Pelodiscus sinensis: one gene and its partner. The protein of the gene in region 1 purifies or fractionates together with the protein of each later gene. This does not show direct contact. Links are inferred from orthologs where the notes say so. Each region holds a gene or a part of one and is shown in the gene's direction. Other genes may lie near its edges.

Evidence for each region.
Region 2: the proteins of TJP1 (region 1) and OCLN purify together in Homo sapiens (affinity purification with western blotting; 4 studies listed by BioGRID and IntAct, with this or other methods). This does not show direct contact. The link is inferred for Pelodiscus sinensis from reciprocal best matches to the Homo sapiens genes TJP1 and OCLN.

What each region holds. Positions count from the first base shown.
Region 1 is NC_134724.1:44,961,361-44,973,414, reverse strand, and holds the start of TJP1 (tight junction protein 1), read left to right. Parts: upstream 1-7,114; 5' UTR 7,115-7,163; coding exon 7,164-7,258; intron 7,259-12,054. UniProt on the Homo sapiens protein: TJP1, TJP2, and TJP3 are closely related scaffolding proteins that link tight junction (TJ) transmembrane proteins such as claudins, junctional adhesion molecules, and occludin to the actin cytoskeleton.
Region 2 is NC_134716.1:81,589,526-81,601,232, forward strand, and holds the start of OCLN (occludin), read left to right. Parts: upstream 1-5,881; 5' UTR 5,882-6,306; intron 6,307-6,619; exon of another isoform or gene 6,620-6,769; intron 6,770-7,974; 5' UTR 7,975-8,017; coding exon 8,018-8,067; intron 8,068-8,975; coding exon 8,976-9,660; intron 9,661-11,231; coding exon 11,232-11,393; intron 11,394-11,707. UniProt on the Homo sapiens protein: May play a role in the formation and regulation of the tight junction (TJ) paracellular permeability barrier.

The sequences.
Region 1 (12,054 bases):
CCAGTCCTATTATTCTATGATTCTATGATTCTATGAGAAGGGGACATTATTTTTAAGAAGGAAATTCAGGAAATTAGGAAATTCAGCTAATAGTGGAGCATAGTCATTTAATGACAAGTTTTAATGACAATGCTGTATCATGTTAGACTCTGGAATGTTAAAACATCACTTTAGCTACTGAAGTGTGTAATATGAATTGTTCATGTCATATTAAATGCTGCAGTAGTGTAGAAAATCCCCAATGTGTATTGTGAAAACTGTTGGCTAATGCTTGGCATAAAAGCCTTATGAAGAAAAAAAAGTATATACTAAGGATATGGGGCCTGTTGGCCAGAGGGTTGTGGATGATACTTCATGTCAAATTGATAAATGTGTGCTACTCAAAGTTTTTTCTTCTCAGTGAGTGCTGTGCCCTTTCCTTTGTTTAAGTTATATGCTCTGTAGCCTTGCTTGGACTTGGAAAATTGGGACCCTCAGCATAGTTCCAGTGATGGAAGCTGCAGTATGGACAGAATTTGGAAAATATTTTCCACGGCAAACCAATTTATGATTTTCAGGAGACTTGCATATGGTAGGTGTTTTCTATTTGCCAGTCCTCTTCAGAGAGAGCTACAGTAGGTTCTGGTCAGTATTCCACATGCTAATTATTTTTTTAAAGCTCCTTCTTTTAGAAAAGGCAGGCTTTGTGTTTATCACATCCCTGCAATTTCAGATTTGGGAGTCTTCAAGAGTCAGGGCAGCAGAGAGACATGTTTTGACTTAGAATGAAAAATCTGAAGTTATTTTTATATTTATTATTGTGCATTTATATCATAACAGTAAGGATGCTGTTATGCATTTGTGGGCCCATTGTGCTTGGTCTTTGTATAATACATAGGAAAACATAACCCGTCTCAAATTATTTACCTCCAACTAGGTTGATCTTTTTATTCCATCTCAACAAATAAAAAATAAAGGTGAAGTCATAACTTAAAAGGGCATTATAATGTATGTGAACACAAATACTAGAAATAGATCCATGTCTATCCTGCACTGGCTGATAAAGCGAGTTTAGAGTCTCAAATATTACTGTAAAAACGTCATTATTGGTCTCTTCGTTTATCATGGCAATAATTTCATATCGAGAAATTATATATATATAACTATATATTTCTAGTTGCCAGAGTTGTATATTCAATTTGGAATTTGAAAATGAAGCCAAAAATGCTTTATGTAGCTTCATCAGTAATAAGGATTGGCTAGCATTGGACAGATGTAAATGATTGTCTTAATGGAATTGTACAACTGTAATTAAGGGCAAAACAGAGTATGGTAAATGTAATTTAGCTAAAAAATTCTGTTGATGATAGGTCTGAATAAAATTCAGCTTCTGCTCTCTCATAGCCTTGTGTGGGCTCAGGGGTTAACATGAGTAAAAACATTAGAGTCATTTAAAGTCATTAAAGTAAACAGAGACCATTCTGCATGTACACAGGGAGTAGGTCAATTGAACAAGAAAGTGGCATTTTTCAGTCACTTTTCTGATCTTAACCACATCTTCTATTTCTCTTAAGGTTTATGGTGCCTAATTGAGTAGGTCTGATATTCTGTTCTTTAGATAGCAATCATACACATACACAATAGCAGGCCTGTATTCAGGAATTTCTGTGTGGGGGGGGGGTTGAGTCATGGGAGGCGCTGGTGGCTGCCCCACCCCTGCAACCCAGGCCCATCCCCATCCCAGTCCCCATCCCCACTCTTGGTGGCGGGTGGGGGAGACAAATCAGCCCCAGCCTTCTCCCAGCATCTAGCGCGTAGGGGAGGGAGGTTGGGGCACTGCGCCGCTTCTGCTTTCCTCCAGCCAGCCAGAGCATTGGGGAGGGATGCTGGGGCAATGTACTGCCCCAGCCTCATGCTTACTTGGAGGACCATGGGTGGGGAAGGGTTGATGCGATCACATCCTTCATACCCCCCCCGTGTACTGTACTGTGCTGTCAGCACAGCCACGATTCCCTGCATGGTAACCTGTCGGGAGGGAGGAAGTGGAGGGGACCCCAGTAGCATTCTCCCAGCAAGCAGCCTCTGCCACTCGCACACACCTCTCACAAACTCCATCCTCCTCTAGCGAGCAGGGATAGAAGTTCTCTCTCTGTGAGATGCCGCCAGTGCTGGACCCGGTGTGTGCAGGACATGGAAGGAAGCCGAGCTGCCCTGTCTCCTCCTGCCACCCGCAGGCTCCTGGCCTGGCCAGCACCTTCCCATGCTTGCTTGTCCCCAGGCTGTGGGTGTAGCAATGCTCCCCTGGGACATCCGTCCCCCTGCAGGAAAGTGCCTGTTGTCAAGACAACATATAGCCTTGCTCGAAGCAAATCGCTATTGTCTGAACCAAGAACTTCAGTGTCAGCTCAGCGATTAGGGCTAGGCTTCATATACAGGGTCTCCTGGGATGACTGCCCTTGTAACTTTTCTTCACAGCTGAGCCAGCTGTGAGTGTGATGTGTGCACCACCTCCCATGCCATCTTCCCGACTCCCGCCGGGATCTGCAGGAGGAAACATACTCAGGAAGATCTAATGAGGTAGCAGATGGCCTGCCTCGAGCCCCTCATCCAGGGGCTTGAAGAGGAGTGCCAGGAGCAGGCTACTGACCAGGAGCAGTGGAAGGCTCCCTGGAACCAGCTGGCACACCAGCAGGAGGCCATGTGCTCCTCCCTCACTGCATTGATGGAGCACATGGCCTTGTGCATGGAGCAGGCCACCAACCATCTCCCCTTGCCTTTCCCTCCTAGCTCCCCCCCAGGAGCCACCAGGGTCCCAGAACACGGGGCAGTGGGACCTCTAAGGCACACAAAGCCTCCCAAGCTACCCAGTCAGTCCAGGCCCCATCCCTGAGATCGCCTCCCCCTCCTGCATTCCAGATTCTTTCCCCCAGTTCCTCCCCTGTTTTATATCCCCCAAATAAACAGTCTTGGTTTTTTTTTAAAGGCTTTTTTATTTGCTCTGCAGGGGCAGGGGAGGTGGGAAGGGGTGGGGGTCCGGGAGGAAAAGCACAGAGAGGCAACGTAAGGGGTCCTGTGTGGACAGGCACAAGGGATAGTCTCACAGCTGACCTTGGCTGAAACTCTCCCTCAAGGCCTCCCTGATGAGCAAAGCCCCTTTATGTGCTTGTCAAATGGCTCTGGTGTCCAGCTGCTTGTATGCCCCGGCCATCCGTGCAGCCTCTGCCCCCAACCTGGCAGCAAAGTCTCCCCTTTGCTCTCACAGAGGTAGTGGGCACACAGCAGGCCACCACCACAAAGGGGATGTTATGCTTTCTGAGTTCCAGACGGGTGAGGAGACTCCAGAACCTCCCCTTTAAATGGCTAAACACACACTCCACAACTATGCAGCACCTCCTCAGCCTGGCAGAGTCATCTTGGTGGGTCCCAGGCTGCCTGTGTAGGGCTTCATAAGTCAGGGGAGCAAGGGGAAGGCTGCGTTGCCCAGGATGCTGTTGCCTGAGGGCAGGGGCAAGCCATTTGCAGTGCTCCAGGAAGGTGGCCTTCCACATGTGTGGAGTTCTGGAGCCACTGCTTGTCATCCCATTGCTGCAGGATGATGCAGTCCCATGAGACTGAACTGGTCTCCCTCCATCAGAAGCATCATTCAATGGTGTCCAGGGGATTGAGGATCATTTGCAGCAATAGGAGTGCCAGGACCTGGGTGATGAGGGCCTCTGGTCCGGACTGGTAGTCATCCTGCTGGAGCAGCAAGTGGGCAGTCTGGATGAACTGCACCATGCGGTGCAGCACAAGGCCCGTGAGCCTAGCACTGCTTTGCAGCAGCTCTGACTCCATGTTGGAAGTGCTGTGGTGTCCACCAGGGCAACCAGAGGACACGGCATCCGTTTTGTGTCCTGTGGAGGAGTGGCGTGTGAGATGCAGCCATGGAGAGGAGGTCCTGATAGCATCTACCACAGCTTGCCTGACCAAGCAGCCACACATGCCTTCCCAGGAGTGCTTCCAGGGGCTCTAAGTCCAAGGCGGGCTCCAATCAGTGTCAATGCGCTATTTCGAAATCATTCTGAGTAATTTCGATGCTCCCTGTAGTGGGGACGCACTATTTCGATTTTGTTGTTTTGGGAGTTATTATTTCTATGTTACTTATTTCAAAATTATTTCCTAGTGTAGACATGCCTCTTGTGAGCCTGGGATACTATTTCCCAGTATTCACAGCCAAGCTCATTGGTGGCATCTTTTGTGCCAAAGCCCAAACTACTTTGTCTCCTTTTTGCTAGTATTTTGTTTAAAGACTTTTCTATGTGTGGACATGAAAGATTCCTCAACATATTTTACTCTAATATCTGTAGCCAAAAATAATCTCAATGCTATCGGTCAGTTCGTCAGCTACATGCTGGCCTCTGCCCCAGAGATGTTTGACCTCAGTGGTTCTATAAAGTACATAGATAGCATTATACGATGTTACCCTATTATCTCTCTACGCTGTCTTTAGAATGAAAGCCTTTTAGGTCAGGAACTTGTTTTATAGTCACCTATGGTGTGCCATGAACATCTATCACACTATGTAAATATTAAGGAACTTTGGGGAGAAAGGCCCAAAATAAGTTTAAGAAATCATTAGGGGGCTGTGCCTCCTGCTCTCTACACTTACCAATCTCCCCATCTATCCACTGCAGCTGGATTGTGGCCTATCCTCTTACTGTGCTGCAGCAGGAAGGGGGCTGCTACCAGCCCTTCCTGTGACCAGATGGGGACTGGACTGCAGGGTCTGCCCCAAGATCAGGGCTGGGGACAGGAGCAATGGCCAGATGGGGGCTGGGCTCCGACTGGGCAGTGTCTGGCCTGGGGGAGGAGGCAGGAGCAGTCGGGGGTAGAGTGTCTGGCCAGGGGAAGGAGGTGAGACAGCTGGCCGGGGGTACATGAGGCACTGGGATTGCAGGGGCTGGGCATGAGGGGGCACTTACTTTTTTTCATGCCACCAAGCACCAGGGGCTTTCCCTGCTGCTCCAATGGGGAAGCTGCCTCTGGCTCCACTTCTACTTCCAGGTCTGGGGCCCTGATTCTGTGTGAACCATTGCCTGCCTTGGGCGGCTTCCTGCCTGGCGCTCCAGCCTCGTGCTGCCCTCTCCCCCACCCCCAGGATTATAGCGCTAGCACTGGCTTCCTGTAGGGCAGGAGAGGAAGAGAAAGATCCAAGACTCTGCATTGGATCTGGCATGTGGGGAAGCGCGTGTGCTGCTGGCTCTGTAATCTTGTGAGGGGGGCACATGAGGCAGGAGTGCCAGGTAGGCAGTGGCCCAGATCCGGAAGTAGAAGTGAGGCCAGAGGTGGCTACTGCCACCACCCCCTAACTCTCCTATAGGGAAGCCAGGGGCCAGTGGGGAGCCCAGGGCATCCCTGAGGAGGGGCTGAAGGGAACCCAGACTCTAACTGCAGAGTCTGGGGGAGCAGGGTGCAGTAGAAGGGCCGATAGCAGCCCCCCTCGTGCTGCAGCACATGATTACATCACTCTGTCGTCCCACAGGAAAATTATTTTACATAGAGAGAGATTATTAGTGTAATGTTTTGAGTGTAAGATTCAATACATGATTGGTTTTAGCTATTTTTGTTAAGGTGCCCAGAGAGTGGATGTCTAGGAATGAATATATCACATTTATAGGTCTGATTTAATGGCCATAAGTCTTTCAAATCTGCAGTCATTTCTATCATTTCTCTGGATGTGAGAGCATCAGGAATGATATTTTGTTATTTCTGCTGTTGATTCATTAGGCTTTGCATAGGATTCCACATCTCTGTGGTGCAGAGGTGAATGTAGGGCAGGTGATCTTAATAATCCTCTTTCTTGTCCATTTCTTTCTCTCTGTTCAGAAGATAGTTTTGATTTAAGGTTCTACTTCTGGGAAGCTCCCCAGCTCCTATGCCCAGGGCACAGTGGGCATTGCCTCTGAGCAGTAGCCAGTTTGCATTTGATGTGGTGCTTGGCTCCACAGCCTGATTATAGCTAAATCACAAGTGATGGGGGTAGGGATTACAATAATATGGGACTATTCTAGACGCTAATAAGATTAGAGAGGCGGGGACAGAAACCTAGAGGGCAGAGGGCAGCGCCAGGCTCGGAGCATGGCAGCAGCAAAGCGGCACTGGGTAACTGAGCTGTCCGTAGGATATGGCATAACACTGCTCTGGAAGGAGGGAGGAGACAGACCCCAGTTACTAGCAGTGGGTGGGGAGAGGAAGAGCCCAGAGGCCCAGTGATGGAGGATGGGAAAGTGACACCCTCTTGGAAACCCTGTGAGGGGCAGGGTGTAGAGCTGAGAGAAAGGCCCCAAATGCCCAGCGATGTGGGGAGGGAGGACCTGAGAGGTCTAAAGATGGGGGGCCAGAGAGAGGTGCCTAGAGAAATGGGGGGGGCATAGAGAGTCACCCAAGTGCCTAGAGGGATGGGGGCATCACAGAGATGAGGGGTCAGAGACTCGCAGGTGCCCAGAGAGATGGGGGGTCAGAGACTCGCAGGTGCCCAGAGAGATGGGGGGGGTTGGAGGCCCCAGGGTGCCCAGCGAGATGGGGGGTCGGAGGCCCCAGGGTGCGAGGGGAGGGGGTCAGGGTGGCCCCAGGGTGCCCAGCGGGAGGGGGGGTTGGAGGCCCCAGGGTGCGAGGGGAGGAGGTCAGGGTGGCCCCAGGGTGCCCCGCGGGAGGGGGTCGGAGGCCCCAGGGTGCGAGGGGAGGGGGTCGGAGGCCCCAGGGTGCCCCGCGGGAGGGGGTCGGTGGCCCCAGGGTGCGAGGGGAGGGGGTCGGAGGCCCCAGGGTGCCCCGCGGGAGGGGGTCGGAGGCCCCAGGGTGCGAGGGGAGGGGGTCAGGGTGGCCCCAGGGTGCCCCGCGGGAGGGGGGGTCGGAGGCCCCAGGGTGCGAGGGGAGGGGGGGTCGGAGGCCCCAGGGTGCGAGGGGAGGCGGCCGGGCGAGACGGCCAGGTGAGCGGGCAGGGCGTGACCCCCGGCGGGGGGGGCAGCGCGGGGAGGCGCGGCAGAGCAGAGGGAGCTGGGGAGCGCGGCGGGCGGCGGGCGGAGGCGGGAAGAGGCAGCGCGGCGGGCGGCGGCGCAGGGCGGCAGATGCCGGGGAGAGCGCTTTGCTGGTTGCATGCAGCGGCTGGAGAGGCTCTGCCGGCGGCGGGCCCGCGGGGGGGCGGCGCGATGAAGTACCAGAAATACCTGACGGTGCTGCAGATGGCCATAGGGGTGACCGCCTCCAACCGGGGCAGCCTGATGCCCCTGAAGAGGAAGCTGTGGTGAGTGGGGCCGGGCGGAGGGGAAGGGCTCGTGCCGGACCGGGCGCGCGGCGCTGCCCACATTGGGGGTCCGTGGGGACAAACCGACACGTACTGCAGGGCCCGGAATGTGTCACGGGAAGCCCCGGGCGCAGGTCGCGGCGAATCGTGCGCCGAGCGGGTTCGGGCAGATCAGCCCCTGTGCTCAGCCTCGTGCTGGGGGAGCTGCCCGCTCGCCCGCTGCAGCCTCCTCTCAGGAAAACGCCTTGGCTTAAGGAGCTCCCAGCCGCCAGCCTCTCCCTGGGCCAGCAGTGTGATTCGCACTCTCAGAAGTGTTTTCAGAAAGAAACAACAAACATTTGTCAAAATAATGGCAGCTCCTTCGGAAAGGTGCAGGGGTAATTACAAGGAAGGTCTATTATAGCTACAACAACACCGCATATCATAGGCATGGCAGTCTGATCCTATATTCCCAATGATTGTTTGATATTTGCTTCTTTGATCCGTAGTAGGAATAAAGCTTCACTTCCAAATGTCAGCCCTTTATTTTTCTTGGCAAGTGTGAATCTCAAAAAGGGACATGCAGTATCTAAATATAATATTATACTTTTAATTTTAAAATATACTTATTTTTCTTTTGACACATTTCCAGTGGTTTTTGGGCTTACTGATTGGTGAACTAGAATTGTTTTCTAGGTGAACTGACAGTATGTTAAGAAAAAAATAGAGCACTGTAAAACTGCAATGTGGGTGAGTAGGACACCAGGAAGCATAAAGCATTGCAATACCCAGTTACTCTTTGTCTTGTAAAGGACCACTGTTAGCATGATTGAAGCAGCAGGATGCATATCATCAGAAAAAATAATGTTAAGAAGAAAATCTACCTAACTGAAAAGCCAAATTTTCTAAGAAAAAAATACCTTGGATCTTGAATTAAATTTGTACCTTAAGAAAAAAATCTTTGTAAGATTTAAGTTGAGATGTGAGCAGCAATGTTCTTATGGTTTCCTATCATCATGGCCCTGGGTCACGGTGAAAGTGTAAAATGTCTGAGAAGGAAGTGCTAAGACATACTGTTTAACAATAAAGTAGCTTCAAAATGAATTGTTTTCATGAACAGCCTCTCATGACAGCAATACATATACTATAGTGACTATGGATCTTGGCATTATTTTATTTTGTCCTTTATTCTCACACGATCATCCAGAACAGACAATGTCAAGGAATGAGGTAAAACTGGGAAGCATAGTAACATTTCTATAGGCCAACTTCATTAAACTAACATTTTACGTGGTTCAAGTTTTCTTTAACAACTGTTTTCCAAAGCACACATTGATATATTTTTTCATAGTTTATCATTTTACTTCATACTGCAGAAAGTGTAAAATTTAAAAAACTAATTTAGCTTTCTGGCATTTTAAAAAGTCGCAGAGTATATAAATTATGCTTTCACATATAAAACTAATAATATTTCTAGCATAAACTTATTATAATGTTTACAGAAAATAAAATTATTTTAGTAACTTAATTTGGCAAAAACATATTCTTGTTAAGTGTAACATACAAAATCAGATATTTTCCTTAAAAAAATATACTTACACATGGTTATCTTTTACACTATATATAGTGGCTTGGGTTTGATTGTCAGAAAGATAAAGTGCAACTACCTATACTCTTCTCTTGTCAATGCTATTCCTTTTTACTTTGCTGACAGTACATATAGTATACAGTATTGTATACTTCCATTTTCTTCAGTGAGAATAAAATCAACCCATATTTCCTAGTTTTATGGAGAAATTTCCCTACTTTCAGAGAGACAAGCAAGACACTATAGTAGGTCCTGAATGAAGAACAAATGTTTGTTGAAGGAAAAGTATGCTGTTCATCAATGTCATATTTGTGTGAGGAGTTGAGTTGTTGATGGTCTGGGTCAAAGGATCATGATTTTTTTTCTATGTAAGAATTCATGCCAGTTACTTAAATCTTTATATTCTACATCTTTTGATTATTTCTTCAAATTCTTATCTCCCCATCAGCATGCGACATAGTAATGTAGGTTTCAACTTTGCACTAGGATCCTGAGTGAGTTCCATATGAGACTGTCTGTGTGGCTATGTGTCGGGGTTGAAATAGTAATTTACACTACATTTAAAAGTGTTCCTAAGGGATATATTTGTACTTAAGATTGTATTGTCATTTTTTTCAAATCATATGTTATATAAAGCTTAATTTTTGTGAAATAAATATATTAATTTTATTATGTAAATCAATGCAATATATTGCAAAAAGTACATTCCATTACCATATATCAATAGTCTCTAGCCTGGTGTACAAAAAGAGAATGTATAAATCGCCTTTAATATGATCAAAAGGTAGCATAGTCTTCGTTTATCAAAGTAAGAATTTCAGTATTCTTTTTTGCCCAGTCAGGTTCAAAAGTTGTTTTATATATATGTTAGTACATACTGTAAGAGCAAGCAAAATGAATCATTTTATAAAAAAGATTTAAAATATTTATCTTTAGTTGGTGGAGATAATCCACCTGAATCCTACTGAATGAAAATGAAAAAGGTAGCAGCAATTGTTTATTCCTTTATCGAGCATCTGCCACTCTAATTTCCTCCCACTCCCCCCCTCATAAAAAATTATAAGTCCTATAGCTGTGCTTTTTGTGTTTCACAGAACAAGATCAAAACAAAAAAAGATGGATGTTGGCTCTCTAATGGGATGGGTAATCAGCTATAGAAGCTTTGATTCCCTAGGTTGTCAGTTCAAACCCAATCTATGTTACCATTGTCTGTCAGCTTTTTCCATCTGATACCTATTCTATAGGCTATATATTAAGTGAGTCGGATGGTCTCAGTCTTATTCCCATGTTGCAAAACTACCATCATAATTGGCAGTAATTAGCAGAGAGGCTAAAAATTTACTAATCTCTTTCCTAAGAGAGGTCCCTCTGTGTAGGTCAGGTCTGAGGCAGTGTGGGAAGTTTGCAGTACTGTGTTTCACCTGGTTCGTGAATAGAAGCCTTTACTTCTCAAGTTGTCAGCTGGCACATTTTATGAGCATGATATACACTTTCTATAAAATAAACTATTATTTGCTACAGCACACTTAAATTATGGTTGCAAATGTGAACTTTTAAGAACTTCCCAGCAGAACTACTGTTTTCAAATTTGCAGTAGGATTGTAGATTTGAAGAATTGTGAATCCTTTATATTGACATTGAACCGTGGCTATAGCAGCTGTTAAAAAACAGAAGTAAGAATTTGAGATGTGGTAATCACACCCAGAAAATTGTCAGTCTATTTAACCTTGGTAAGACAATCCAGGATTTTTACTGTCAATGTCAGCAGATAGTTGGGTGTTTTTTAAGATAGAGTACAGTATGAATTAACCCAGCTGCAAAATTACTTAAGGAAAATAAACTATTGACATGTAAAAATCTTAAAACAATAGGCCAAAGTAAATATTTACTGAAATCTAAATACCTGCAAGTAAAATGTTTTGTAAAAGAGCTAAGTCATGCAATTAATACATGTAATTTCCTACCAAACTGGGAGTAAGGTTTTAATGTCTAGACCAGTGTTTCCCAACCAGGGTTCCGTGGAACCCTGGGGTTCCACAGACCATTGTCAGAGGTTCCGCGAGAAATCGTGGAATAAATAAATAATTTTTTTCCTTACAATGTAAGCTGACATTATATATAACAGCTCTTTACAAATAAATTTTCTTGACAATAATTTAGCAGTAATTGAATTGCGCTCCCCACTGTCAACTTTTTCTGGCCAAGCAAACGTTTTCAAAGGGGTTCCCCGGGATATGAAAAATTATTTTAGGGCTTCTTCCATAGGAAAAAGGTTGGGAATCACTGGTCTAAACTTTAAAAGACTTTCAATGGAGAAACAAGTTTTATAAGAAATATACGTGAAATCAGGACAAGATTTTAGTGAGAGAAATAAATCACAGTCTGTGAGAATTCTAAAAGCGGTGGAACTTCTGTTGACTTCAATGGTGCAGAAATGAACCCTTTGTGAGAAGGTTCAGAAAACAAGATATAAGATTCTGTCGATAGTATTGAGATTATTATGGCAATCATAAAGGCCTGGTCTACACTATGACCTTACTCTGAAATTAGCCCCCCAAGGTTGATTTTCTAAGTGATGCGTCCACACTATCAAGCTTGTTATTCCGGAGTAAGGGGCCATGGAATTCAACTTTTGTAGTCTTGCTTTTCACGAGGAATAATGCTATTCCTGAACTTGTAAGTCCAAAATAATGTAAGTACAGACACTCTGTTGCCACTAATTCAAACTAATTAGGCCTCCCACAGTTCCCCAAAGTGCTTCCCGGGGCTCTGTGTCTGAAGCAGGCTCTGTTAATGTGGACACGCTACCTCAGACTACATTAGATTCTTCCCCATAGTGAGGACACACAACTTCGAATTTGTAAAATTGGGTGGCCAGAAGTTAAACTTAGTAAATTCAAAAGAATCACCTAGTGTAGAAATAGCCTGAGAGAGAGATGAATAGTGTAAATATGAGACTCTTGTACATGTTTGGGGATTGTCTAAGGTAGCCCACAGTTTATAGAAAATATGTAATGTATCAGACTCAAGAAATTGCAGATACACAGTTTCTAATAGATCATTTCCTCCCGGATGTGTCTAGACTGGCAAGTTTTCCCGCAAAATCATCTACTTTTGCGGAAAAACTTGCCAGCTGTCTACACTGGCCGCTTGAATGTCCGCAAAAGCACTGACGATCTCATGTAAGATTGTCAGTGCTTTTGTGGGAAAAACTATGCTGCTCCCGTTC
Region 2 (11,707 bases), on another chromosome or scaffold:
GAGAGTGGGGCCCCCGTCATACCCTCCCACAGTACCTTAAAACCTTCTTCTGGAGGAAAGGTAATACCATGCAAAATTTGGTTGCAGTAGCTCTTATAGTGTCTGGACTTACTTTGAGTCCTAAACTCAAAACTCCGGTCATCTGAGAAGTGAGCTCTGCCCACGAAAGCTCATGATACCATCTACATGTTTTGTTAGTCTATAAAGTGCTATCAGACCATTTGTTGTTGTTTTTTCTGTACAGACTAACTTGGCTACTCCTTGAAACTCCTACTCTTGTTTTAAAAGTTTAATTAAATAGTCTCTTGGGATGTTCAATATTAGTTGTGTCAGTGTAATGGTTTTGACTAACTTTTGTAAAACATCTCTAGCACCACAATGCTTCCCTAGCAATATTGTTGGTTCACTGTTGACTGAGTATGTCATTTGTCATCAATACCATTTTCTCTAACACCTTAATTACATGGCTATAAATATAATTGGAAATGGCCCAAATTTGGCTGATGGAAGTCAGACTTTGAGTTAGCTACTTCTCTAGGTCCCCTGACAAAAAAGGTAGAAGATGGTAGAAGAATTTCTCTCTCCTTGTTGCTGCCAGGGGAGAGTAATTAGCGCAGCTGTGACTTGTGAAGTCTGCATAAAATCCCAGAGAATTTGCATGCTCTTTAGCCCAGCCCTGAGGTAATCTTTTGTAAAGCTGAGATGGATTGTTTGCCCATCTTGAGCTAGTTCTCATGAATGAGCCCCTTGACTATTGTGCACTATAGCTTATTTGCTAAGCTCATTCTCCACTGTGTTCCTAAACCTAAATGCACTATTAAAGACCTGATCCTGCAAAGACTCAAACTTGACTTTCCATACGTGAATAGTCTCACTGAAGTCAATGGAACTATTCATGCAGAAAGTTAATCACGTATGTGAGTCTTTGCAGAGTTATAATCCTTTTAGTATTCAGAATAGACCTGAAAAGTATTACAATATACCACTTACTAATTAAAAGTTGTAAAGTTGTCAGAGCTCTCTGAACTACTTTAGATATACATAAATGTGAAGAATTAAAGTCTGAATGACTACATTAATATAATTGAAAGAATGGTTTTATTTTTACACTACTTATATGTCTATGGTCTAGCAGATTTTATACTTTGAGCTAGTGCGTAAATACTGGCATAGGCTGATACTTAAGAAAACCCATAATAGAAGTGGGAGAGGTCGCTTTTATGCTTTGTGCAGTACTGTATAATCTGCTCCGCAAAGCTCTATTTTGAGTCATATGAGAGTAGGTTCTGAATTTTAAACAGGAAATATGTGTTCATAGTGTTAGACAAAAGAACATTCATTTTGAGGAAACTAATTTATAAAGTAGGGTCTGATAGTTGAATATTTTTCTGTGATCATAACTATTTCTTATCTATGAATAAAATTAGGCCTGATTATTTAGTTTTTGGCTGAACAACTAGAAGGTACACTACTGAAAAGAGAGGTGAGAAATCAAGGAAATCAAACATGCTGCTCTTGCAACTCTTTGTAAAAATGTATACTTAAGCCTTGATCCTGCAAGTAAAAGTATGTGGATGTACTCTTCTGCCACCCACAGCAGCAAATAGGGCTCTGCCTACTCCTTGTCATTTGTAGGATCATCCCTCTGATTGTATCAGAGGGCCAAGATTTTCAAAAACAGGAATTAAATCTAAGCTGCTAAATCCATATTTTTGGCCTGATTTTTCAAAAGGGCAGTGTGCTCACCAACTACAATGTTAAGGTTTACTCGCAGTGAGAGGAGAGGCCACTTTTAGTTCCTGTCTTTGTTGTTTAATTCACTTTAGAGTGTGTCCTTGTTAAATAACGCTTAGTTTTATAGTCCGTAGATCAGGGAATATAAAAATTTTTGGTAGGGGCCATGCCAAGATTTTGGTTAATGGTCAAGGTCTGCACTTTTCTGTGGAGGGTCTAGGGTGAAGGTTGGGTGCACAGGGTAAGGGACTGGGGTTCAGGAGACGGTGTGAGGGCTCAGCGGGTGTATGGGTGAAAGAGGGGGTTGTAACCTGGGTCAAGGGATTGGGGTGTAGGGTCAAGGAGGGGGTGTGGGTGCAGGATTGGATTCTGGCCTGGGGGAGAGGTGTAGGAGGAGGTACAGGGTCTGGGAGGGAGTTGTCACCTGGAACAGAGAGAGCAGAGGGTTTGGATGGTGATCTGGGGGAGGAAGTTGGGGTGCAGGATGGGTTGGGGGTGCCAGAAGTAGGCACTAGCTGAGAGGAGTTTACCTAAGTGCCTCTTGGCCTACACCCCAATCTGTTTGAAAATACAGGCTGCTCCCTCCACCTGGTTCTCATATCGGGCTGCCCCAGTCTCTCAGGCCAATCTCTCAGCTCCGATTGACTGGCTGTTTCCAGCCAATCGGAGCTGAGAGATTAGCTGAGGTCAGTTCTTATTGGCTGGTTCTTTCTGGCCAATAGGACCTGAGGATTGGGCTGGGAGTGGGGTGATCTCACAGAAGCCTCCACCTCCCTGCAGAGCAGAGAAATGCAGGGACTGTGTTTAAGTCGGCAGCTGTGTCTGCCTGAGGGTCCAGTCAGGGCCGTCTATGGGCTGCAGCCTGTGGCTTGGCAGGCCAGATCCGGCTCCCTGGGCCGTATTTTGCCCAGCCCTGTGATAGGGACATTATGCCATAGCAGATACTGTTCTTAAGACAAAACATAAAATTATTTTGATCATTGATAAATTTGTGATGATTTTCTAAGAAATCATAGCAGTTTGGATACTTACATTCTGATAGGTTATCTAAGTAACTATTCTGCCCACCTACATTCCACTTGCAATTTCAGCTGTATAGGGTATAATTAAAATCCTAGAGACAAAAGGCTCGACTTCTAGATACTGTTTATTTGTAATCCACTCCTAATGTTAGAAGTGCTATCTATATAGGAACAAAAATTCCATTCAGAGATATCTGTCCTCTAATCGCCAAGTGTACTATTTTGTTTTCTGTTTTGTCTACTTTGAATATAAGTTCACTGAAAACACTTGTCTAATCTTTCTTCTCTATGATGCTGATTATGCAATATTAATTACCAGGATATGCCTTGATCAAGTTGCTGTTGCTATATCAACATACAAACATGTGGAATAAATAATAAAGATGGGTGACTTTACAGAGCAAAGAAATCAACCCCTGACTAATTCAAGCAATTAGATTTGTCTAATCTCCAAACATTCTATTCACTTCATAAGACTAGGCTTCAAAATTAATGTCATTACTAATGTGCATTGAGTGGACATAGAAACGGATTATTTTCTAGTTCCAAGAGGCAATTTTTGTAGGTATGTGAATACAAGTAAGGCATATTGCCCATATCCTGTGTGGAAACTTATTCCTCCTTTGGTTATGCTCTTATGATAGAAAAACTGACAAATCAGATTTAGAATAGATTTTTATCACCCCTAGTATCATTATCTCATGGATACTAGTCCTCCACCTCGCTCCCCTTCTGTTCTAAATCTGATTTGTCAGTTTTATAATGTGTTCACTTTTTTTTTCATTGTATTCCTTTGGTATATATGGTCGTGCCAATTCTCTTCCAGAATTTGATCTGAGGAAGTGGGTCTGGCCCATGAAAGCTCATCACCTAATAAATCATCTTGTTAGTCTTTAAAATGCTGCATAGTCCTTTCTTTTGTTTCATTCCCTTTTTATATGAATTTTTGTAACAGTAGCAAGGGGCCTTTCTCATTTAGTTGCCTCTGGGATCAGTTAGTTCTGGGGCAGTGGTCACCAACCAGTAGATCAGGATCTACTGGTAGATCTTGGAGCCTTTGACAGGTGATCCTGACAGGTGTGGCGAGGAGGCTATCAAATGCTGTCACTTCATCTGCCCCTCTCAGCACTACCGTGCTGCTCCTGCCCTCTGCTTTGGAGCTGTGCCCCACCCCTGGGAGTTTCTTGCTTGCTGTGCAGGGAACAAGAAGAGGACGGGGTGCTGAAGTTAGGGTGTCCTTCCCCCCACTCTGTACCCCATCTCCACATAGTTGGGGGAGAGGGGAGGGCAGGGATGAAGAGAGTTTGCTGGCTGCTTTTGGGAGCAGGGGTAAGCCTGCCTTAGTCCCCTGCATCACCACCAAGAAGCCATCTGTTGTAAGCGGTGCCCAGCTGGAGCCCACATCCAAACGCCAGCCCCAGTTCTGAACCTCTCCTGCACCCCAAATCTCTACCCTAGCTCATAGTCCCCTTGCCTCCCAGAGCCTGAACCCCCCTGCTGCTCAACTACCTCAGCTCAGAATCCCTCCCACACTCCAGATCTTTTAGCTCAAGGTCAGAGTCTGTATTCCTCTATCCCGCACCCCAGCCTTCTGCCCCCAGTCTGATAAAAGTGAGTGGGGATGGGGGAGAGTGAAAGGATGGAGTGAGCAGGGGTGGGGCCATGGAAAAGGGGTGGGAAGGAGGCAGGGCAAGCATGTTTTGGTTTGGGGTAGATCCTGGATTGCACTTAAATTAAAAAAGTGATCTCATGCTTACAAAGGTTGGAGACCACTGTTCTAGGGATATCAATGTGACACTTAAATGTCCATCTCCACAGTTGATTAATCTTCAAGTACAGGACTCTCCCTGCAGGAAGTAAGTACAGCATCCAAGGAAGATGAAGCACTGTCTCCATTTAATTTTATTTTGCTTGCAATTAAAATGTATTTTAGTTTGAGCCTTGGTTACAGGGGAAAGTTATGTATATGGACACTCTTAAGTCATGTTTACAGTGTGGGTGCTAAGATGGTATAGCAAAACTGCTATTCAGTTTAACCAATACCCAAAGTGGTCTTTCTGTTGCTCTAAGGATAGTGATATTCAGACCTCAGTGGTTCAGGAGCCAAATTATAAACCTTCATTACCCAAAAGAGCCACAGTAGTGTGAATTCATTTTTGTATTTACTATAGTACTATATATAGTATAAATAAACAACAGATTAGTTAACTCAGAGCAAATTTATATTTGGTTAAAAGCATAGTAAATGTTTCCTGGTTTTTAAATTAAAATTATTAACCATAGTGTTTTAATATCTTGTGCTGCAGAGTTACAAGAAGTGAAATAAAGAGCCACTTGTGGTTTGGGAGCCTCAGTCTGAGTATCACTGGTCTAGGAACTTCACATGCCCAAATAGTCAGTGGCAAAAATCTTTCCTCAACCTCGCTGCCTTTGGAGTGGGGGTGTGACCCTCATAGCTACAGGGTAGTGCTGAGGAAAGTGAACCTTTTACACCTTTGACCACAGTCAAAGTTTATGTAGCTATTTTTTTTAGCTTTCTTACTCAGTGTTTAGCAATTAAGCTAAAAAAGTGTACTGTCTATACTAGTGGCTCCATGAATAGGTGTTGTACCTGTCTAACCCTTCTGCTTTAAATTCAATCTTTAGCTATATCTATAAAATGCCTGTTAATATATTGTGACACTATTCTTTCTATTTCCTTTAGGTGCATGCAATGGGAGAGGTGCATAGAAACAGCCCCGAGCCACTTCCAGTACTACTGCTTTAAAAGGGTGGCATTGGCTTTGCTCTCCCCGAATTTGAACCAGCCTACTTCTAGCCATCATTTTAAAAGGTGCCTTTTTTCCGGGCGCTAACCCCTCTTCCCCATTCGTGCGTTATGTCTACAGTCCAAGAGACACTTTGCAAACAATTCCAAAGGGGATTGCTGGGCTAGGAGCTGCGACCCCCCTCCCTCCAGATCTGGGGAGCGGTGCCGGGCAGCAGAGGGGGAGAGTGAGTTGAGTGTGTGCTGGCACCACTGAAGGGCGGGGAGCGACTCGCCCGCGGCTGGGAGGTTCTCGGGCACGCCCCCAGCCCGCCCTTTGTTTGCACTAGACTCTCAGAGCTGAGTCCATCCTCACTCGAAACTGGTTCTCGGCCCCCTCCGCGCGCTCGCTGCAGGATCAACCTGTTCGCTGCCTGGTGCTGGGGCTGCCGAGTTTCAGTTGAAGGGGTCACGCGCCACTGGCAGAGGGGAGGGGAGCAGCCAATCAGTGCGGCCGAAGCGGGCGGCTCCCACCCCGCATTCCAGGCGGGAGCTGCTGGGCGGGGGGGGTGAGTGCGCCTGTCCTCGAGCCCTAGGTGTGCGGGCAGGGCGCATGCACCGCGGCGGGGTGCGGCTGGTACCGGGGGGGAGGAGAGGGCTTACAGCAGCGGCTGCTTCCAGAGAGATTAAAGAGCAGGGAAGCTGGGAATCAGGCGAGCGTAAGCGGGTGCGTGCGCTGCTGGCGTTAAGGTAAATGAACTCTTGGACCGAAGCGGTTTACAAATCTCGGAACGGGACATCCAGGTGCGATGGGGGCAAGAGTAGAGTGTGTCTGGTGACTGGTGTGTTTGCTTTGTGTAGGGTCGGGGGGAGGGGTCGTCCCTTTCTCCCAACCGCATCCATGCCCAAGTGTAAGGGCTTCTGGCTTATTCTTAAAAGTTTTCCCAAATGTTTATACTTACGGCTTGTGATTGGAAATATCGAAATAAGAAAAAAAAAGCTGATACTTCTCGTCTCTAGGGTACTACTGTGCATTGCTCATTATTATAGCCAGATCATACGTAGATCTTATTTCTTTAAACGCTCAGTTGCATATTTAAACTCAGTTCTGTATTAGTTGGGCGTTGTCCCTGTGACACCAGGGATGATTCTTCAGTTACATCTTTTGTACCTTAGCCTGCCTCTTGGTTCTAGGGCTGTGCACTGTAATAAGGGTTTCGTCTCAGTTATTGTTCTCTGATGTGCAAGTTCCTCCAAAAAGAGTAAGGTAAGGAGGCAGAAATCTATTATACGATTTTAATATGTAGTTTCCACAAAAGTTGTAAATGCCAGATCGTTTCAAAGAAGTCAGTAAGTCCTTCTTGAATGGTCGGTTCAAAGATGAACCTTTTTTAACAAGTTGCTTCCTTAAGATATATTTTCTTTTTCCTCAAGAATGTCAAATCTACCAGGGCATTCAGTCTGTTATGAAAGCTTTCTTCTCAGTAGAGAGATTTTTGGTATGCACAGGAACAGGTACATTAAATTCTTCTTTGCCTCTCAAAGAAACTCTGCATTATTTTGCAGCTAATGTCTTGTGCTCTTTCCTTTTTCTCACTGTAGTATCACCTCAAGGCTGCTCTGAAACAAATTACATTTTGGTTGAAATATCTGTTTTCACCATAACTACGTTTATGAAATGTTTTGCTGATGTTTAACTGAAAGGCTCTTCTTACTCCAGCAATTAATGGAGATACCCACTTCAGGGACTGAAACCATTGTTTCAAACTATAGTTTTAAAAGGATAACTTAAAATAGAGCTCTTGGAACAATCCACAGATTGATTGACTCTAAAACCAAGAACCTCTACCTTCAAAAACATTGTACTTGCTGTCCTTTCGGGTGGAGGAGAGATAAAATTGCCACTCTCTTAAATGCATCAATAACAAGTTGCTAGTTGCTCTTTTCTTTTGCTGGACTTAATCAGTCATAGAACTGGAAGGAACCTCTAGAGGTAATCAAATCCAGAGCATTGATCTAGCATCATCTTCTAGAGCAATGGTCATCTGAAATCTTGTGCTATTTTAGGTCAATATTTTAACAAATTGGGTAAGGGCAAAACTAATGCCCCCTTCAAAAAAGAAGAAAATGGTAGGTGATCATGAAGAATTCTTGATTGGTGTTCCTACTTGAGATCTAGCTTAAGATGTTACATATTTCAAGATATTTTGGGGAAAAATCATAGTTAAGATCAACTACTGTGTTAAAGCACTGTATGATGAAGGGGAGTCTTTGTATATTTTAGGAACTGTTTGTGTACCTTGGAGTGGAAAGCTCTATTTATTGGAAGTCCTTGAAAAAATTTTTTTTTGTGGATTTGACTTTCTGTTTTTAGTAATTGAACAGCCATCTGTATAGTATAAGGCGATCATACTAACTATAATGTCAATAAGCTGTTTAGATTGTTTTGTAATTGTCACTTTTTTTTCCTAGGTACCAAAAATAAGTCTCAGTTTAGAGAACCAGTACTTCAACTATGTCATCCAGACCTTTTGAAAGTCCTCCACCTTATCGACCAGATGAATTGTAAATATTCTCTTTTCTTCTTTGGTTACTACTTTAAATAACTCCAGATAAGCAAGTGTACATAGTTGAAATTCATATCTTTAACAGCTTATTTATACAATTGTTAACAGTAACTGTGTCAACTGTCTTCAAGTTGCTGCTGTTAGCCTATATCTGGCTACGTATTTAACAAAAAAGGAAATGTCTGTCCAGCACATATAGTGTGTTCTAATAGCTTGTTTACCACTTTACAGGATGCTTTTTGTCTCTTCCATGTGTAAACTAATCAAACAACAGTTAATTAGTGATAGAAATGTAGCCGTGTTAGTCTGGGGTAGCTGAAGCAAAATGCAGAACAATGTAGCACTTTAAAGACTAACAAGATGGTTTATTAGATGAGCTTTCGTGGGCCAGACCCACAATTAATTAGTGATTGCTGCACTCAGTGTTGCAATACCTGTCTATCAACGGGGTTGAAACTCCTTAGTGCCTACATTCCTTTTAAAAATGAGATTTAGGCTCCTAAATCAGATAGGCATTATAAAGTTGAGTGCCCTTCCTTCTAAATAGCTTTACAAATGGCCCTACTGTTTGGTATGATAAATACTGCAAATTATCACTCTTAAACATTCTCTGAGTTCTCCAGAGCACACATTCCAGTAATCTTTAAATGCCAGTGGTCAGAGTGGATTAATTTCAACCCTCTAATATTATTTGTGAACAACTATCATAAAAGCGCATGAGAAAATAAAATGTCTTTTTGGAGGAATATATGCATTCCATTGAAAAATATAGGACTCTTTAAAAACTGTCTAAATCTGACCACTTCCTGAATTAATCTAACTTCATGTGTTGTGCACTACAGTTTTTTTAACAGTTTTTCACAACTGCTGAAAACTTAAGTTGATAATTTTTTCTTTTTATTGCAGCAAACCTTCTCACTATGTACCAAGCAACATTACGTATGTTGAGGACATGCGTTCTCAGCCCATGTACTCTCAACCAGCATACTCCTACTATCCAGAAGATGAAGTGCAACACTTCTACAAATGGACTTCCCCTCCAGGAATAATAAAGATCATGTCAGTTCTCATTATAGTGATGTGTGTGGGCATTTTTGCTTGTGTGGCTTCCACATTGCCTTGGGATTTAGAATTCTATGGAGGTTCATCAATGGGATCTGGTGTTGGATATCCTTCATATGGAGGTTTTGGAGGCAGTAACAGTTATGGCTACGGTTATGGATATGGTGGAGCCTATGGTATTGGAGGAAATTACATTGAGCCCCGAGCTGCTAAAGGCTTCATACTTGCAATGACAGCTTTTTGCTTCATTGCTGGAATGGCAATTTTTGTAACAAGTGTCACCAACTCAAGCACATCCAGAACAAGAAGATATTATCTAATTGTCATAATAATAAGTGCTATCCTTGGTTTCTTGGTATTCATTGCATCCATTGTATATGTACTGGCAGTAAACCCAACTGCACAAGCTTCAGGATCAGTGTTCTACAATCAACTTGTTGCTCTGTGCAGTCAGTATTATACAACTACAAATACAGGAATCTTTATGAATCAATACTTGTATCACTACTGTGTGGTAGAGCCTCAAGAGGTATGTATACATTAATGCCTATTTTCTTCCTTTAAATTGTACACCTAACATGTCTGCGTATAAAACAGTTGGTGTACAAAATCCATAGCTCATCTAGCTAAACTTTTTCTGCTCATTAAACAAATGAATTCTTTAACTACTGCTCTCCCACAAATTAAGAGCCTGAAGAACTTTTATAAGCTTCCAGGAATATAGTAAATTACCATGAGCATGGGTGCAATTAAAATTAATATAAGCTGCAATATAGGAGACCAAAATTAAATCCTTTTTAACTAGAGATGATTTGTTAGCATGCCATCTTTTTTTTTTTTCCATTGCCCCATGTCATCCTTGCTCTATCACAGTAAAAGGAGCAAATTACTCTGAATATATTTACATGTGAAAGTAAATCTCATTTCTTTGTCCATGTATTTTAACCTAGTCTCTTGTATCAAATTTATATGCACTGATAGCACCTGTGCAAGAAAAAAGTCACTATAATAAGCCATAACCACTTCTAGGTGACCAATATGACTTTGTGGTGATAAAATTTAAAAAATTATTAAATGTATTATAGTTATTGCAGTTCTAATATGTTGGGCTATTGGAACGTCATAAAATATTAAATTTCAAAACCTTCATTTGATGGTTAAAAGAGACTTTTTATTATCTAAGATAAATACAAGCGCTGCATTTGTGCACTACAGACCTCTTTGTAGAATGCTTCCGTTAACTATATTGTTTCAAACAGTAAGTTTAGTAGACTTCTGGTCTCATTTCCTAAATAGCCAACACAATTTTCCTTAGTCTTTAGCCGAGTGTTCTCTGGTTAAGGCCCCAGAATGTGCTGAAATGAAAACTGCATGTGGCATCTGGGAGGGGTTATGAGATGGTGCTCCCTTTCAAAGTGACCTGCATTTGGGCAGAATTGGGGACTCTCCTTTCATACTGTGCAGAGGCCTTAACATGTGTGGGAGGTATTCTGTTTTGTTTAAAATTTTCTCAAAGTTGACTTCTGTCAGTTTGAAATTATCTGAGGTTGGGAGAACTCTATTGGAGGGATGTGAACAATAAGCCTAAGCTTATAGTTTAATCTAGTTGACTACTCACATTTCTTCTCTTCTCCTGCCTCTGTATGAGAGGCACAAAGGGAGGTGGAGAAGCAGTAGCTGGTGCTGTTTAAAAGCTGGTTCCCTCAGCACCAGCTCTGCTTGGATGAAACATGAAATCAGTACAGGTGTAAAAGTGTGTGTAGAGGGTGGGAGGTTCCCAGCAAAATATACTCTTCCACTAGTCTTAAATAGCTTCAATTTTGTCTTCTTGGTATGCTGCAAAGCCCATGTATTGTTCTGGAAATGGGGGGTGTTCATATGATGAGAAGATGTTGGGATTTTAATTTGAATTAGAATGCTGATTGTTATGTGGAGGGGAGGAGAAAGCAATGGTTTGAGGGGTTTTTTTTTCTTGGGGGTTGGCGTGCAGCTTCAGAAGGCGGCATTCTTGATTTTTTTTTTTTTTTTTTTTTTTTTTTGGCACCTTGAATAAATGGTCTTGTATTCAAATAATATCTGCTGCATATTTTTCCTTTTTAGGCTATTGCCATTGTATTGGGATTCTTGGTTATTGTTGCTTTTGCCATAATCATATATTTTTCTGTGAAGACCCGAAATCAGATGAATTATTATGGTAAAATGAACATTCTCTGGGATAAAATAAAGGTTTATGAAGAAAATCCCCCCAATGTAGAAGAATGGGTAAGTTTAATGTTGGATGCTTATTCTAAACAGACACAAACCCTCAAATTCAAGGTTTCTGTGCCATAAATTTGATTCAGCTTTATTATAAGTGACATCTTTGTTTAAAACTCCTGTTTAAAAAATCTAATACAATCTTTAAAAATCTGAAAACAAAAAATTCCAGCAGCGTATTTCTAAGAGCAGCTTTACAATAACAAGTCAGTTTGTGCATGAAATAAAGCAAAAGCACTTCAGAAAGCCATTGTTAAACTAGATGTGGTTTTCAGTTTATATAGATGGTTGTTGCCAGTGGTAAAATGGATGTTCTGAGG